3 linked regions of the Rattus norvegicus genome follow. The main gene of each other region encodes a partner of the protein of the gene in region 2 in a complex. Links are inferred from orthologs where the notes say so. Each region holds a gene or a part of one and is shown on either strand. Other genes may lie near its edges. The genes, in order: Cast, Capn2 and Capns1. A codon is read from its position in the direction of its gene.

What was found.
Region 1: the proteins of Capn2 (region 2) and Cast are in contact, whole or in part, in a crystal structure (PDB 3BOW), measured with the Rattus norvegicus proteins. Residues at the interface, in NP_058812.1 of Rattus norvegicus: Glu62 (codon at 2,434), Leu63 (codon at 2,437), Ser68 (codon at 2,452), Lys69 (codon at 2,455), Gln99, Gly100, Ala101, Leu102, Gly103, Trp106, Lys161, Asp162, Leu165, Leu166, His169, Ser196, Gly197, Gly198, Thr200, Ser241, Asp243, Ile244, Thr245, Asp249, Ser250, Glu251, Ala252, Val253, Val259, Lys260; in NP_445747.2 of Rattus norvegicus: Glu571, Leu572, Asp573, Ala575, Leu576, Asp577, Glu578, Leu579, Ser580, Ser582, Leu583, Gly584, Gln585, Arg586, Gln587, Pro588, Leu596, Asp597, Asp598, Lys599, Val600, Lys601, Glu602, Lys603, Ile604, Lys605, Ala606, Glu607, His608, Ser609.
Region 3: the proteins of Capn2 (region 2) and Capns1 are in contact, whole or in part, in a crystal structure (PDB 1KFU), measured with the Homo sapiens proteins. The link is inferred for Rattus norvegicus from reciprocal best matches to the Homo sapiens genes CAPN2 and CAPNS1. Residues at the interface, in NP_001739.3 of Homo sapiens: Ala2, Gly3, Ile4, Ala5, Lys7, Leu8, Ala9, Arg12, Glu13, Glu16, Phe60, Arg366, Arg416, Arg417, Arg418, Arg420, Asp494, Ile516, Phe551, Glu575, Lys578, Val581, Asp582, Asp585, Gly588, Ser589, Gly590, Gln641, Leu642, Gln644; in NP_001003962.1 of Homo sapiens: Thr85, His86, Ser88, Asp111, Asp112, Met113, Glu114, Ser116, Thr118, Asp142, Arg145, Ser146, Ala149, Val150, Met151, Asp152, Ser153, Asp154, Thr155, Thr156, Gly157, Gly160, Phe161, Glu163, Asn206, His208, Leu209, Met212, Ile213, Arg215.

Annotation. Positions count from the first base shown.
Region 1 is NC_086020.1:5,813,507-5,819,262, forward strand, and holds the start of Cast (calpastatin), read right to left. Parts: upstream 3,481-5,756; 5' UTR 3,334-3,480; coding exon 3,259-3,333; intron 2,790-3,258; exon of another isoform or gene 2,639-2,789; coding exon of another isoform or gene 2,609-2,638; intron 1-2,608.
Region 2 is NC_086031.1:96,728,950-96,734,449, reverse strand, and holds the start of Capn2 (calpain-2 catalytic subunit), read left to right. Parts: upstream 1-1,824; 5' UTR 1,825-2,250; coding exon 2,251-2,487; intron 2,488-5,500. UniProt on the Homo sapiens protein: Calcium-regulated non-lysosomal thiol-protease which catalyzes limited proteolysis of substrates involved in cytoskeletal remodeling and signal transduction. Proteolytically cleaves MYOC at 'Arg-226'.
Region 3 is NC_086019.1:94,578,423-94,584,115, reverse strand, and holds the start of Capns1 (calpain small subunit 1), read left to right. Parts: upstream 1-1,894; 5' UTR 1,895-1,932; intron 1,933-2,831; 5' UTR 2,832-2,846; coding exon 2,847-3,061; intron 3,062-4,039; coding exon 4,040-4,073; intron 4,074-4,337; coding exon 4,338-4,427; intron 4,428-4,558; coding exon 4,559-4,616; intron 4,617-4,720; coding exon 4,721-4,785; intron 4,786-5,693. UniProt on the Homo sapiens protein: Regulatory subunit of the calcium-regulated non-lysosomal thiol-protease which catalyzes limited proteolysis of substrates involved in cytoskeletal remodeling and signal transduction. Essential for embryonic development.

The sequences.
Region 1 (5,756 bases), on a different chromosome or scaffold from region 2:
ATAATTATGATGTTCATCAGATATTCTCTAAATGTAGCTTTTTAACAAATTTTATAAAGTTGGTTTTTACTACAATCAAAAATATTCAGATGGTAATCAGTGTGAAAATGTACAATATTATGTTTCCTTGGTTGGCTTTACAAGTAGCATGCTCTTAAATGAACATATCTTTGCATTACTCTACTTTTATTCTGTATAAAGTTAGATCACTCATATTATTTTTAGTATTTAAAGAATCTTACTAAGGATACTAAGGATATTCTAATTATAGGACTCACTAGAAGTATTCTACAAGGATGTGTGTGCGGTGTGTGTAGAATTCCATTGGTATCTTTCGGAAACTGGTTTTAGAAATGTTTTGAGAAATCAAATCCTGCAGATGCTCAAATGGCTTGTATGAAATAGCATGTTCACATCTAAACTATTCACTGTCTTCCTGTGCTCTATGATACCCAATATTAAGGCATATCCACATTTTTATATTATATTGCTTGGGGAATAATGACAAAAGAAATTGATACATGTTCAATGAAGATTCAATTTTTAAAAATTATTTTTGATTGGTGGCTGAATATGTGATAAAAGGGTTTAACAGCACACTTTTATTCATAGGCACATAAACAAAACTACTTAATATATACATTGCACATATGAAAATATGTACACATATTTTATATATGCACAGAATATAAGAACATATGCATTTATATGTATCTATATGTTAAAATTGGCATTGGAGAAAGATTTGTGCAGACTTTGCATGCCTTGAAGAGGCAAATTATATATGTATATTGTTGAGAGAAAGTACTATATTTCATTCTCAAAATGAAATGTAAAAAACACAAACAAACAAACAAACAACAACAATAAAAACAAAAGAAGATTAGGAACAAGCCACTTAGAGCTTTCCTGCCTGTGTTATTTCACTAGCCACAGTGGCAAGTGAAACTCTGAAATATGGGAATTGGGAGATACTGTGAGTATAACATAACTGCACAGCCAGATTTTTGAGTAATTAGCACAAAAAGAGGTGACTTGTCATTTTTAGCACATGATTACATACTTAAATGTCACCTAGGATAGAGCCAGTTAACAAAAATGTTATTAACATACTTGACTTCTTAAAATATTTTTGTTAATGGGACTGTTACAAATTTTTAAAGCCCTTTTGGGTATCATAGTACTTTTCTGCTGGAGAAAAGTCAAAACTTGATCACAAGCATGCTGAAAGTTCTAGAAAGTTAGCACAAGCAGAAGTCTTAAATAATAATCCCCAAACTGGCTTGTAGTGGAATTTGGGCAAAAATATCAAAGTGTCTCACACAGTGCAGTAGGTATTAAAAGCAAAGATCTAAGCTATCTTCATCTAAGTAGCTGGCACAATTTCCTTTAGACAACGCCAAGCTTGGACAGAGAAATCTGATGTTAGTTGAACACCTGCCACCCATATTTGCAGATAATTTAATGGGTGCATTTTGATAAGAATTCTGGGACAATCATGACTCAATGCAAACATACGCTCTCAGCAAATTAATAAAACTATACATTTAAACAGCACAGAAAAGTGTAAGGGAGAACATTCATGAAGAAACATCACTGAAAACACATATGTGGCATGTCTACTGCTGAATAGTCCTTATGTAAATATTTGGTATTTGACAGATATGAAAACATAAAGACTCACACATTGAAATCATTGCCACTTGAGTTAAGAACTCTACAGTGCACTTGAAGGCTAGCACACTTAGATGATCAATCAGTTCTCAATGCCTATTTTCTAATTCTAACCCAAAGTTTGTAGATGCAAAGATTATCTGATTACTGCATCTTTACTTTGTCCATACCACCTCCTGAGAAGGTGGACCTAAGATTTTGAAATTCTCACCATAAATCACCTCATGACTCTCTGTCAACAAAGGGTTGGAAACTTTTGTTTTTGTTGTTGTTTTTTCTTTTTTAAATGTAATGTAAAAACCATGCTTCCTGGTTTCAAAACATTACAAGTTCCAGTTTGACTGGGTATAACACATACTTGGTAGGACAGACTAACCACTAACCAAATGGAACACGTTTGTCCTCTTGCAAAGTAATACAGAGTAGTGACATATACTCATTTCTCTCTCTCTCCCCCATCCCCCTTCCCGCCAGAGTATTAATTGATCACAATTGTTCTCTGATCTTTTCTTCTTTTCCATTCCCCATCCTCCTCTTTCGAGTTTGAAACTGCTTCACCCACCATTCTTTGTAAGTTTTTATCTTTACTTAGCAGTCGAAAAACTAAACCTGGGCTTCAGTGCTTCTTTTCTATGTATCCAGGTAAGTGTTTCAAAGGGCAGAAATTAAGGATTGCTGTCCATTCAATTTGGGAATGCGAGCTGAGCCTGGTGCACCTCGCTGCCCAGACTGTACCGCCCAGTATGCGTCCGCATACCACGGAAGGGAGAGCCTCCAGCTTCTGCCCGAGCTTAACCAGAAGGTCTGCAAGGAGTTCTCACCCGGTCTCACCCTTGGCCCTCCAACTTCATGCCATATTTCCTCAACCTGCCAGTGGGGCGAGGTAAATACACTCCCTTCCCAGTGCTGCCCAAGCTCGGTCCCTTCTATTTACCGTCTTGTACCACCAGTTTGCGAATGCCATGGCGACAACCCTGACGTGCTCCGAGCCGCGCTGCTGGGAAGCTGTCCAGGACGAAGAGTGAGGTGCTGGTGGCACCACTACGACTCTCTGCCTGGCTGGGACCTTTCTGACAGGGCACAGGGTGTTACGCAGCTGCCCGGTGGGAGGGCACAAGGGAAAGGAGCGATAGGACCCGCCCACAGCTAGCGTGGTCCCGCCCTGTCCGATCTGGCTAATTAGGAAAGAGGTGTGTGTCAGTTCTTCAGCCGCCACTCCCTACATGGAAAGTGTGTGAGGGTGGGGGTGGGGGGTGACTTCACATGGAGGGCAGAGGCCCTCTGCCGTGCCGTACGAGCCCACTCACTCCGAAAGTCCGGAGTATACTTTATTCTGCTTCCATGCCTTGTGCACTGCCTTGGTCTCACTAGCCCGTGTTGCTCCAAGAGCCCCTCCACCCAACTCGTGACACTACCAAATTTAAAGAGCCTGGGGCCACCTGCTTGCCCGCAGTCACAGAGCTCTGATCCTTTTCCTATCTGGAAGGTGCCAAGGAGGGGCAACGCCCCAGAACTGCTGCGAGGCACTCCTGGACTACGGCCCCCTGCCGCTTGCCCCGCGGCTCGGTTCGGAGTACTACTCACCTCCTGGGTGTGGCTAGCTGCCGCCCCGCGCCGGGGCCTGGAAGAGGCGGCGGGCTTCGGGCCGGGCCGGGACATTATTTGGTGAAACTGCTGCGAGTGCAGCCTCTGGGAAAGCGCAGAGAAATTGTACGGGAGGCCCAGGCCAGAGCTCGGGGCGGTGGAGCGGAACGGCGCAGTGAGGCAGCTTTTCCGACCCAGCCCTGAGCCCGGGCCAGCTCCCCCTCGCCCGGTTAGGCCCTCCTCTTCCTGTGGGCCGCTCACTGCCCAATTTGTCAGCAACCCTGAACTGCAGTTTAACGCCCTCTGCTCAGGGTTCGTACACAAGACCCTCCCCAGACTGGCCCCAAAACTGCAGGGTTCTCAGTGGATCACAAATTGGGGAAGCTGGAGGTTGCAGTTCCCGGGTGGACTTGTCCAGACCAATCTAGACATTGTGTAACCAGAGAGCTAAACTGGGGCGTGGTCTAGACTTCCTTTCCTAAGAATTTGGAGAATTAGACACTTTTCTGCAATCTGTCACTAATTCAACTCTAGCCTAAATCCGAACTAAAGATAAGAGAAAGGATCTTGAGAAGAAATTGGTCTCTCAGTGTTTGTGTACTTCTGAGTGTGCTATGTCCTGTATTTGATTATTTATATAGGCAATTCTGTAAGTGTACTAATGGTTTACAAGCAGAAGCTAGCCTGCCTGCTCTAATCCAAATCAGCAGACAATCACGGACTTTAAAGTCATCTCCTTTTCTGGAGCCTACATTTCTGATGTTGAATTGCTTTTGACTTGGCTTCATTTTAGGCAGTACTTCCTGGTTTGGGGCTGGAAGTGAAATTTAACAATCTTTTTGAGTACTCATCCAAAGGGTTTGTCAGCCTGCAGATACTGCTGACTAGTGCCAGCCACAAAAAAAGCCTGTGCCACCACAATAGCATTGTGATTTGTGGTTTTTCGTCAACATGCTAGAGAGCTAGGTTTTAGACAGATGACAAGAGAGAAGCCCCATTACAGAGCAAGATTTGCCATGCTATAAGGAGCTTGGCAGAACAGAATTATGGTTGTCCAGTGCCCCTTCAATTTTAGGGATATCTCTCAACTTCTCACAAATTAATTAGCAATGTTCTTGGATTTTATGCATTTCTTCGTGAAGTGCTCTATGTATAATGTCACCAATATTTCAAAAGATAGGTAGCAGTGCAAGAATGCATACATAAATTGAAACATTTTGGTGTACAAACTGTCATTAGCAAAGATTGGTTGGTGGCATGCATCATTTACATCCAAAATAGGGAAAATCGTTAGACTGAAAAAAAAAAGTCTTATGTTTTTCAGCAGAATATTTAAAAATTGAATTTAAACCAGTTAATTTTGCATTCATTGAGAGTCTTCTATGTAAAGCCCTATGGGAGGAATAGTAGAGAGAAGGATATGCAAAGACTAAACTTGGGACTCCCCTGGGACCCAGGAACTTACAAGTTATTTGGATTTAGTTGGTGATTGATTGGGTGGCAATGGGAAATATACAGTATGTAAATAAAGACAAATGTGCTTCTGGAATGTGGTGTTTCATGGGTACTGTTGATTATAGACAAGAAAAGAGAAATGTAGAGGGTGTTGGTACAGTGTGGACAGGAAGAGAAGAGACACTGCAGGAAATAAAGGGAACACTCTCATCTTTTTGTCTTATGAAGCTGAGGGTCTCCGTTCAGATCAACAGATCTATTTGGCATTCTATAACTTACTGACTACAATTTGCCACAAGTTATGAAAATCCATAAAGCTTAACAATGCTATTTCTCAGGTTTTGCTTGACTCAGTATTTAAGTCAAACACTGTTTCCCAGCACATTAATGGCTATGAGTAAAAACTAATGTCAGAAGTTGAAGTATTTTGCTTTGTAACTGAGAGTTACTGAAACCATGAAAGGAAGGTCTTCACATTTGGGGATCTTAGAGAATCCCTGCACAGATAGAGGCAGCATTTCCTATAACAATGTCTGTGGATATTGCAACTATTTATCCTTAAAAAAAAAAAATCTAGCACCAGGTTCTTGATACAAGGAGGTATTAGAGACCTATGCTAAGCCGTGGACTCTGACCTCATAGGTAGCAATGAATATCCTAATAAGAGCACCAGTGGAAGGGGAAGCCCTGGGTCCTGCTAAGACTGAACCCCCAGTGAACTAGATTGTTGGGGGGAGGGCAGCAATGGGGGGAGGGTGGGGAAGGGAACACCCATAAAGAAGGGGAGGGGGAGGGATTGGGGGGATGTTTGCCCGGAAACCGGGAAAGGGAATAACACTTGAAATGTATATAAGAAATACTCAAGTTAATTTTAAAAAAAGATAAACAAACAAACAAACAAACAGAACACTCAGTCATGAAGAAATCTTCCAAGGAGCGCTGTAGGATCCCAACAAGGGGCATATTGCCTTTCTGGAGGGACTGGTGGTCAACCCAGGAGAGAGCCTCCTCTGATTTGTTCCTTTATCATGTGCTTGATGCCA
Region 2 (5,500 bases):
TTTCAAAGAAAGACCATGATCCTAGGCAGAATGGCCCACTCTCAGGACTCTGAAAGCCATCTCAGATTCAAACAGAAGAATAAGGGAGAGGAGGCTCCTTTTTCTGTGGCAGGGGAGGGACAGAGTCGGGGAGAATCTGGAAGAGAAGCTGGAGACACACTGGGAAATGACTAGTCAAGCAGGGGAATGCTCCAGCTATCATCATCCCCTTCCCAGAAGCTGGTGAAGGTGGGTTGGAAGCCCTGTTTCATTTGTGTGTGTGCCAGCCCGGGAGAGGCAGAGCTGTGGAGACAGGAAAGAAAGAAGGAACCCCAAATGAAGTTACAGCAAGCGAAGCAGTGGGTCAGCCTTGGGCAACAGTAGACACGAGGTTAAAGACAAGAATAGATACAGTTACAAGAATAGATACAGTTACAAGGCTAATATAGGTATGAACAGTTCTTACAGCTAATATTATGGCTGTCGTATTGATACAGAATGAACACATTTTAAGCGATTTTATTTGACAAATACAGATGGAATAACCAGACACATCATGTTTTGTTTGTTAGCCAGGGTCTCGCTGTGTAGCCCAGCTAGCCTGGAACTCTCCATGCAGACCAGGTTGGCCTGGAATTCATGGAGATCTGCCTGTCCCTGCCTCCCGGTGTTGGGATTTAAAGACATGGCCGCCGTGCTCAACACTAGGCATTTGTTTGCATCGTGATAGTTTCCAAGCTTCATAGCTTTCCCCGGAAGCTGTTTATTTTTTCCCACCGTCTGATTTCCTTTGGCCCCACCCTGATTTCTTCTGGGCTCAGGATTCAAAAGGGAAGTGGGGGGGGGTGACAGCAGACAGACACTTGTGAAGTGACAGTACAGACAAGCCCTCGCCTTGCCACAGGGAGACACTTTGATTCCTCCTGGAAGAGAGTCATTTGCATACCACATAGATATTTCAAGTTGCTACAGTCTCCTGCAGCTTCCAGAGTTACAAACTAAGAAACCATGCAATGCTGAACCAAGATGAGGCCCAAACCAGGGTTTCTCAACCTGGCACAGAGACATTGCAAACTGCATTCTTCTTGCTGTTCTCTCTGTAGAGCGATGCACTCGACCTTTAGTAGCACCCAGCTTCCACACAGTAGAGGCCAGGACCCTCTTTTTCCCCAGTTGCAACAATATGAAGAAAGCCTGCAGTTAGGGTCAAGAGCCTCTTGGGTCACACTGGTGGGTGTGGGTTGCTTCCGGTGGAGACCCCGTGCTTTAAACCACTCATAGAACGAGCAGATACTAAGCCAGCCCAGTATTCATTCCAGAGCTATGTTCAGTGTGTGAGCTGCAACTCCGGAACTCTCCCTGGACAAATGGTACCGTGGTACCTGCCACCAGTAGGGCCTCTGTTCTAAATGCTCTCCCAGCAGCAACTCAATAAACCCTCCCAGGTAAATCTGAGTTTTAACTAAGCACCACACTATCATTCTAGCATAGGTTTGCCTCGAGTGATCTTCCCCCTTTTCTTGAAATTTAGATTTAACACGCATAGATGTTTTCTGTCAAATTGTACAGCCCTACTTATGCATGAGTAGCTGTTCAGTAACTACAGAAGCCCTGGAATCTTAAAATCCGTGTGTTGCCAATGCCTAACCAGCTTTAATTCGTGGGGGTTACATCTTTGAGCTTCTATGAGGCTCAGTTTCTCATCTGTAAGATGGACACATCGGTAGCCATTTCTCAGAGATGTTGGGGTGTAGCACATGTGCCCAGGCCTGCAGAGCTCTCCGATCCTGAGCCCAGTGAGTGGTAACTGGCTCGGTCTTCGCGCGCTCACTCCCTCGTCCGCTCCTGACTCATTTGCTGTTTCCTGGACAGTCATTGCTGAGTTTCACCCTGCCTTCTTCCCGTTGAGTCTCAACTTTCGCACCCCAACTTGCAAGTGCCCTCCCCCACCCTCCTCCACGGCAACCGGGCCTCGCCATCCCGGGATCTGTCCGAAGGTGGCAGCATTGGCCCCTCAGTCCTCCACGGTCGGGCTGTCGCTGTGCAGGTCGCCGGCTGGCCGCGTCCGGAGCCCAGCGCCGAGCAGGCCTGGAGAGGCGGAGGCCACACCCCGCGCGCGGCCCAGGCGCTTCCCGCCGGTGAATCATCCCCGCAGCGGCAGCTCCCGCAGTCCGCTGCAGCGCCCCGGGCTTGGCCGCGCCCCAACCGAGTGCTGCGCCCCGCCTCTCCGCGACCCCTCTCTCTGTGCTGTGCGCCATCCCGATCGCTACCATGGCGGGCATCGCGATGAAACTGGCCAAAGACCGCGAGGCGGCCGAGGGGCTGGGGTCTCACGAGAGAGCCATCAAGTACCTCAACCAGGACTACGAGACACTGCGGAACGAGTGCCTGGAGGCCGGGGCGCTCTTCCAGGATCCTTCCTTCCCCGCCCTGCCGTCGTCCCTGGGCTTCAAGGAGTTGGGGCCCTACTCCAGCAAAACTCGGGGCATCGAATGGAAGCGGCCCACGGTAGGAAGCGCGAGGGGAACGGGTAGGGCCGGGATGGCCTGGAAGGGCACTCGGGGTTCCGGGAGGCTCCAGAGGGAGGCTGCGAGCCCCAGGCTACCGGGTTTGGTAGTCCTGACTTGGTAGTGCTCCTCGATTGCTGCTAAGGGGACTCCAGATGCAGGCTGAGGCCCACCCAGTGGACCTGTCTCAAGCTGCGCCCAGAGCGCTTCGCAGGACAGGACCCCAAATCCCATTAAGTGGACACGCCCTGGGCCTTCGGCTTCGGCTTCACACAGCAGCAGGGCCGCTGGGGTGAAACTTTTATTGGACTTTAGTGGTGAGACGGAGGGAGGAGACATGGGTCAGCTGTGGGGGGTGGGGTGGGGATATCGGAGTTAGGTAGAAGACTCTGGATTGCTGGGGTGAGGGGTAAGGGGCGGTCACAGACTAGCGCTGGCTAACATAGGTGGTCTCAAGTACATGAGGTAAAACGTTACATTTATCCAACTTGAATCTAGTCTATTTCTCAAAGTGCAGTTAGAGGATCCCTCCTCCAATATTGCCCAGGTAACTTAAAGAATCGAAGGGCTCCAATGATCCTGTTACTCATTATTTTGCTGGCCTAGAGTCCTCACCTGGTAACCTCTGCTCGACTCCTAGATGCTCTTGTTCCAACCCTCAGGGCCTCTGCCCTTGAGCCCTTCCCTTTCCCTTATGGTTTAAGGGTTCAGTAGAAGCCCTGCTGGTCCTCATCCCATGGGACCCCGCTTGACTTTTCCAGGGAACAGAGAGGAAATCTAAACTTTTAGATTCCTGTTAGGACAATGGACATTCATACCCTGCTTTCATACTCTTGGTTCTCCCAGGCTGCTTTTGTTATCCTGAATCTAGTCCGAAGTACCCTGGACTAGCTGGGGTGTGGCTCAGCTGGTAAAGTCTTTACTCAGTACGCCTGAAGCCCTGGGTTCTAACCCAAGCACCACATAAAATCAGGAGTATGGTAATGTATGCCTGTAATCCCAGCACTCAGGAGGCGGCGACAGGAGGAGATCAGAGATTCAAAGCCAGGGGCCATAAAGATGGCTCAACCTACTTAGTTCTATCCCAGAACCCACCTGGAAAAAGAGAACCAGCTTCCAAAAATTGTTCTCTGACCTCCACATGCACACTGTGGCACACAAGCAGAGTCTCACAGGCACGTGCGCGCGCGTACACACACACACACACACACACACACACACACACACACACACTAAATAATAAACGACGGAGACTGGTCTGGGTTATGCAGTGCATTTGAGGCCAGCCTGGACTACATGAGATCTTGACTCAAAATTTAAAAGTCTCTGTGGAGCAGGACCCAGAGCACCTGGGTACCTTGGATGGCTCACTGGCTCTCTCTTCCTCACCTCAGCTGGGCGTGGAGGTACACACCCTTGATACTTTGTAGCTTTGGTTGCTTAGTAAGTTCGAGGCCAACCTGAGCTACAAAGTAAGACTGTGTCTCAAAATTAAATGAAATAAAAATAAAACAAACCAGACCTCTCTGCTTTCTCTCTTCCCTAGCACCCTTGGGGCAGCTGCCATGGCTGGTGTCCCCTTCCTGGAGACCCCGTTCTTCTCTCTTACCCTTCTCATCTCCCAGGCATGCTCTTCCTGCAAGTCTGGCTCATTCACATTCTTTCCGAGAGTCCTTTTCCACCCTGCTGTTCTCTGTCCAATGCTCATTTCTGTCCTGGAGTTGTCACCATGAACCAACGCAGTCACATGTTTTCTTGCTTGGCTGAGCTGCTGTGTGTTATTTGCCATGTGCTCTCAGTGTCTTGCCAGGGTAGTGTCCCTTCTCAGGATTCATTCACTCACTCATTGATTCACTCATTCAATCACTCACCAGCATGTAGGGAGTGCTTACCTTAGCCCAGGCATTGGGACATCCATGAACAACAAGTCAGCAACTAATTGGAGAACGAATGAATGAACAAATGTACAGTCATTATGAACCTCAGATGACATCCGGCTGGGGAGACGACTCACAGACAGGAGAACGTGTTCCTTACATTTGCTTACTGTTTTACAACTTCTTATCCTAGTATCATTTCTGTGGTTATAAGACACCCTAAGCAAAAGCAACTAAGGGGAACAGCTGGCTTACAGTTCCAGGCTACAATTCATCATTAAGGGGAAGTCAAAGCAGGAACTCAAAGCTGAGGCACGTTCACCACCCACACACATACTGAGTCCACGGACCTTCCATTCAGTCGATGAGCAGTGATTGAACACCTCTTTTATTCCAGGCACAGTATACTTAGTTTCTGTCTCTGAACCCACGGAGGGCAGAAATGTCCTTCAACAGGTGACAGTGCCCGTGGACCTTCTGAGTAGAAAAAACAGAATTCCAGAGCCACTTCAGGGACACTGCCTAGGGCAAGCGGGCTATGCACCACACATCTTCATACAGTTGGAGAGACCAAAGCTTAGGAGTGTCAAATTTTCTCAAAACAAATAAGGACTGGAGCCGTGGCATGGCTGGACTACCTGTCTTGACCTGTCCTGTCAAACACCCGTGACTTGATTTAAGAGTTGTTTGGCTGTGAACAACTTGAGTTTGCTAAAGGTTGAATCACGAAAGAGGAAGGGATTAAAGGTGACTTCCAGAGAAAGCAGGACAGGCAAGGGAGCCGGTTAGCCATGTTGTGGGCTTGGGAGCTGATAACTCTTCCCGAGAGAATGTCATAGCACTGGCAAGAGAGCTCTCCACTGCAAAGAGATGACATAGACCATGACCACAGCCATACTGAGGGCAGTGGCCATGCCAGTCCACAGTGACGAGTGGCCCAGCATCATCTAAGGCTGGCCCATGAGGTCCTCCCAGCTGTCATGATAGAGTATTTGCCAAGGCCATTCACCTGACCCTGAGAACAGTCCTCTGTGGTGGTACACTTGTCTTCTTCAAACCCATTGTACAGATTCGGAACAAGCTTCAGGATGTCAAGTAACCCACCAGCATCCCAGGCCTTAGGCAATAAACGGCAGG
Region 3 (5,693 bases), on a different chromosome or scaffold from region 2:
TCCTAGAAGTGGACTTCAGCTATGAGCTGCCTATGGGTGCTCAGAATTGAATCCAGGTCCTCTGGAAGAGCAATCCATACTCTTAATTCCTGAGTCATCCCCTAGCAAAGCACCCGTGAATCTTTCTTTGTTTGAGTCAAGGTCTCACTATGTAGCCCCATCTGTTCTCTGGAACTCACTGTGTAGACCAGGCTGGCCTCAGACTCAAGAGTTCAGCCTGCCTCAGCCCCCAGACTACTGGTATCAAAGGCAGTCTGCGATAGGCTCCCTGAAGCATTTTTAAATTGTTTTGAGATAGGGCCCTGTGGTGTAGCTCACCTGCCTTAGTCTTCTGGGCCCTGGGCAAGTATCATCCCGTTTACTGATGTTCTGAGGGCACCAAGCTGGTAGCCTCACCGAGTCCTGGGTGAAGGTGAGGACAAAGAGGACTTCCCAAGTGAGAGACGCCTGAGCTCCCATCCAAAGCGGAGGACACAGACAGTCAAATCCAAACACAGGAGTATTTGTAGGCAGAGGGCAGGGCTTGTGCCAGTGAGTTGAGCCTGAGGTCAGACTGCTTAGTGTGGCAGAGGGGTGTGGCAGAGGGGTGTGGCAGAGGGGTGTGGCAGAGAGGGAATCCACATTAGTCATCACCAAATCATTTATCCGCTCTGGCTTAGATCTGGGTCACCACCCTCTGTGATCCCGCCTTTCAGAGCTTCCAGTTTCGCTAAGGTTAAGTCTTGCTTCCCACACACACAGGCCTGAGCAACAATTAACCTGGCTTGCTCCCAGCAAGCCCTTAGGTGGTGTTAGTGCCATTGCAATTTTGTCCGTTGAGATCTTATTTGACTGATGATCACATTAAATTATTGGAGATTCTTTGAACAGGTAAGGCAGACTGGTTGTTTAACCTCAGTTTACCTATATATAGAATGGGGACAATAACAGCGTCTGTCCCACAGTCCTGCCGCGAGGGCACACAACCTGGTGAGCGCAGAGCACGGAGGAACTGGCAGTTACTTGTCGATATTGCTTAAGGATGGGCAAGAGTAAATGAGCTGAGGGATCGGGGTGAGCTCCTAGCTGAGGGAACAATATGGTGACCTGGGGACTAACAGGAGAGCTGCCATTTTCCCTGTATTTATCACTTAATTCTGGGGCTCATCCAGGGGAACCTGTGTCTAACGTCCTCGAGGGTCTCATGTAGCCGCCCCCACCTCCAAGGGCTGGTGTTACAGGTGTGCGTCATCACGCCTGGCTGTGTTCCCTCCTTACAGATGAGGAAATCATTACTCAGAGACACCAGGTCACTGTTTTAGGGATGAGCAATACAGGCTCAAACCAAGGTTTACATAGTCCCAACGGAGCGGCCAGACAGCCAGACTAGAAGCCAAAAGGCGACCTGGGTGGGAGGCACAAACTGAAGGTAAACTAAAGATTTAGAGTCCTAGCATTGGAGAAGCAGAAGCAGGAGGATTGCTTCGAGTTTGAGGTGAGCCAGGGCTTTAGATCAGCTTAGGGTGTTGAACAAAACTCTATCTCAAAGTGCACGATGAATGAATGAATGACAATAACTGAAGTCCTTTTTTGCAACTATATACTGCAAAGGTGACCAGGTAGCCTGGATCTAGTTCCTGGAGGCTCCAGTGCCTGGGCGTTAGAATGGTCTACTCGTACTCATAGCTATTAAATCTGGAGAGCGTTGAATTACCAGCAGTGTGTGTACGGGGAGGGCTGAGCTAGGTAGAGACACAATCATAGCCCGCTACGTAGGGCGGGGCCTCCTGCGCAGGCGCAGTCTGCAATGGCGGCTCTAGGACCGCGCGGACCGCGGCTGGGTGGCGAGCCGGCTTTAACCCGGAGCTGCCTGAGTCACCGGCCCCGCCCTCCAGAGCCGGACACAGCGGGAGGCCCAGCGGCGGGCGAGCAAGACCGCGGACCGCCGGATCCGTAAGTGAGACGGGGCGCTTCAGTCCAGCACCCCTGCACCCCGCTGCCCGGGATCCGCTGTCCTCAGATCTGGCGAGACCCTAAAGTCGTGGCCTTGGGGGTCTTAGGACCCGTGTTCTCAGATCCGAACAACCAGGCCTGTCAGACGCTGGTCATTCCCTCCAGAGCACTCCTTGCCATCCCGGAACTCAGGATCAAAAATATAACCCCAAAGATCAGAGAGGCACCCATAAATTATCTGGGGCGTCTAGAACCACGATCCGAGATCCTGGTTCCAATTTGCGGTGTGTAGAACTCCGTTATCCGGGATCCTCCGGGCGCACAGCCATAATTTTAGGCCGGAGTCCCACAGATCCCTAATGACAGTGTAGTTCCTCTGTCGAAACTACCTGAATGTCCTAATCCACATTAGGGACTTCCTGGACTCAGCCCTGGGTCACCCCTACCCTGAGCTCAATTCTGGAAGGCCTGGATCTGAGACACGTCCGGTATACCTTACCCAACTGGGGAGTGGGGGTCCTTACATGGGGAATCCCCTGTTTCCCCGCTGCCTCAAGACAGGGGTAATCCAGGCTGGCGCTGTAGCCGAGGTTGGCCTTGAACTGATCCTCCAGCCTCAGCCTCCCAATTTCTGGGATTACAGTTGAGCGCCACCACGCTCGTCCAGCTCTACCCCTGTCCTCATTGACCACGTTTGCAGTCAAGCCTGGGCCAGGGTACCTGCTAGACCCTAGGAGGTTTCGCACCTTCCTGTCACCTGTCCAGATTCTGCCCCCATCCCGAGGCCTCTGTTCTGTCCCCAATCTAATTGCCGGAAATGCTTTCTTTTTTTTTCTTTTTGCGGGAAGGGCTGGGTTCTTGGCAAGACGACTACCTGACCCACCCCCTTTTCTTTACAGGACTCTGCTGCAAACATGTTCTTGGTGAATTCGTTCTTGAAGGGCGGCGGTGGCGGTGGGGGAGGCGGGGGTCTGGGCGGGGGCCTGGGCAATGTGCTCGGAGGCCTGATCAGCGGAGCTGCTGGAGGCGGCGGCGGTGGAGGCGGCGGTGGCGGCATGGGACTGGGAGGAGGTGGCGGAGGCGGTGGAACAGCCATGCGTATCCTGGGCGGAGTCATTAGCGCCATCAGGTAAGGCGGGGCCTAAAGGGGCAGGGTGGGCCAAATTATAAAGAAGCTCACTTAGAGGTCCGACATGGGAATCCTAATTAGGTTGGGCTGGTCCAAACTGGAAAAGTGGCCCTAAGGGGATCCCAACGAGACTGGTGTCACTTTTTAAAAACTGGGTTAGTAAACTTGCTTCTGTGGGTCAATAAATAGGATGCAGTTTCTTGGGGGTGGGGAGGAGGTACTCTTCTGTGTTTGGGGAAGGTATGATCCTATAAGACTGTATCCAGTCTTCACTGGGGGCGGAGCCAGTGGATCTGAAGTTGCTCCATGATTTAAGATTTGACCTAAGTGGAGCTTGCTGTTATAGGAGAGATCAGAACCCCCGAAAGAAGAAATGGTCCAGAGAAGGTTGTGTGGGGTCGGGAGCTGATTGGGTTGGTGGATAAAAATCCTAGCTGGGGTAAGAGCAGGTGACTGACACCTGATTATCTTTGGCGATCCAAGCAGTGATTCCTGGGAGGAGTAGGTGTTGATGGGGGAGAGGTTGGGAAGCTAGATAATCTGCAAAAGGAGCGATGGAGTCAGGCTCTGGACAAAGACCTGACCTGAGGAAGATAGAGGCATAGGGGAAACTGGTGCAGACCGACCCCTTAAGAAGCGAGTTCTTCAAGGGGCGGGCCCTGTTAAGTTTGGTGGGTTTTCGGGATTTTGATTGGGGCTAAGATGCTTCTGACATTGTGATTGGTGGGTGTTCCTGGGGCAAGGTAAGGATTCTTCCGTGGGGTGGGCCCTTGGGAGGTGGGAGGGGTTGGCCTGATGGAGGAAAAGGAGGAGCCGCAGAAAGCTGTTGATTGGGCCAGGTGAGAACGACGAGATAGACGAGAGGAGGAGGGACCCCTTAAGGAAGAGGAGGGCTGGAGTTTGAGGGGTTGACTGACCGTTCTGCCGCCCGTTGGAGGCTCTGCCCCCATGCGCTAACTCACCCTTGTCTCCCCTCAGCGAGGCTGCTGCGCAGTACAACCCGGAGCCCCCGGTAAGCGGCCCTAGAGACCCTTCCTCCCTAGGCCTGTTGCCCGCATTATCTTACCCATTCCTATGTATAAGGCTCCCCTTCCTTCCTTGGAAAATTCCCCTGCCGGCAAGAATGTCCTTTTTGAGGGCCCCTATTGTCTCAGCCACGCTACTTGCTACACTCACCTCAAACTGCCCACCCCTCCCTGACTTTTCCCTGGGATCTTGGGTATGAGGAGAGAGACGTGTTTCTCCACGTCTGTTCTGAAATCGCTTCTCTCTGCAGCCCCCACGTAGCCATTACTCTAATATTGAGGCCAACGAGAGTGAAGAGGAACGTCAGTTCAGGAAACTTTTTGTCCAGCTGGCTGGAGACGTAAGTATACTGCGTGGCTGCTCCACGGTGTTACCTGACTGTGAAAAACCGGAAGTTCCCACCCCGTTTTGTTTTATGGTATCCAGACCTCTTTCCATCTCCCTTGAACCATACTTAACTTCTGCCATCAGGACATGGAGGTCAGCGCTACAGAACTCATGAATATCCTCAACAAGGTCGTGACCCGACGTAAGTGACCAGGGTCAGGGAGTGATGAAGGTGTAGAGGCGTATGGGCTGGGATGATCTTTGACCTCTGACCTTCAACCTGTCCACCCATCTAACCCCCCTCAGACCCAGATCTGAAAACTGATGGGTTCGGCATTGACACTTGTCGGAGCATGGTGGCTGTTATGGATGTATCCTTTTGGGGCCAGTCTGGAGGATGTCTTGGGTGAAGAGGGTGTTTTCTGGGAGTATGTTGAGGACAGACGAGGTGAAGCCTTCATACCTGAGGACACAGGCCTACCTACATGACACCACCAGAACTTTACCTGGATTAGGAGACCCAACCTTTACAGATACCTTGTTAGATAAGGACAATGTAATAGGAAAGGAAACAGGGTCAGAGAGACACAGTGGTTTTTTTTTTTTTTTTTTTTTTTTTTTTAATTAAAATTGCACCCTGGTGCATTGATTTTAATTTGGGAACTCAATCCAAGGCAGTTTCTCCTTAGTGGTGGCCCTCTGGCCCTGGACACACACACACAGACTGGGGGCCCGCAGAATAGCTGGAACAGCAAGGGATGGGACAATCAAATATCCATTCATCAGAGGGCAGCCAAGTCTTCAGTTCTGCACACCTTGCTGGTGATTGGGTGACAAGTTTCAGAGAGACACAGTGGTTTTGTCTCTGGCCAACCCACCCAGAACTCACTGGACTTGAATATCTGATCTTGGAAGCTAATCTTGGGGCTACTCGAGACTTAGATAACAGAACCAATCATTTGGAGAATACATGGCAGGTTAGGAATTTGGACTTGGGAGTTTCGATTTGAGAATCTAAGCTGCTTTTATTTCTCTATTTACTTTTAAATGATATTGATTGATTGATTGGTTTTTGAGACCGGGTTTCTCTGCCTTGGCCGGCCTGGAATTCACTCTGTAGACCTGGCTGGCCTCGAACTCCGAGATCTGCCCACCTTTGCCTCCCAAGTTACAGAATTAAAGGAGTGTGCCACCATCATGAGATTATCAGTTTTAGGTGTACTTATTTTATGTGTCTGGGTGTTTTGTCTGAATGTAATTATGTGCACCTGATACATGT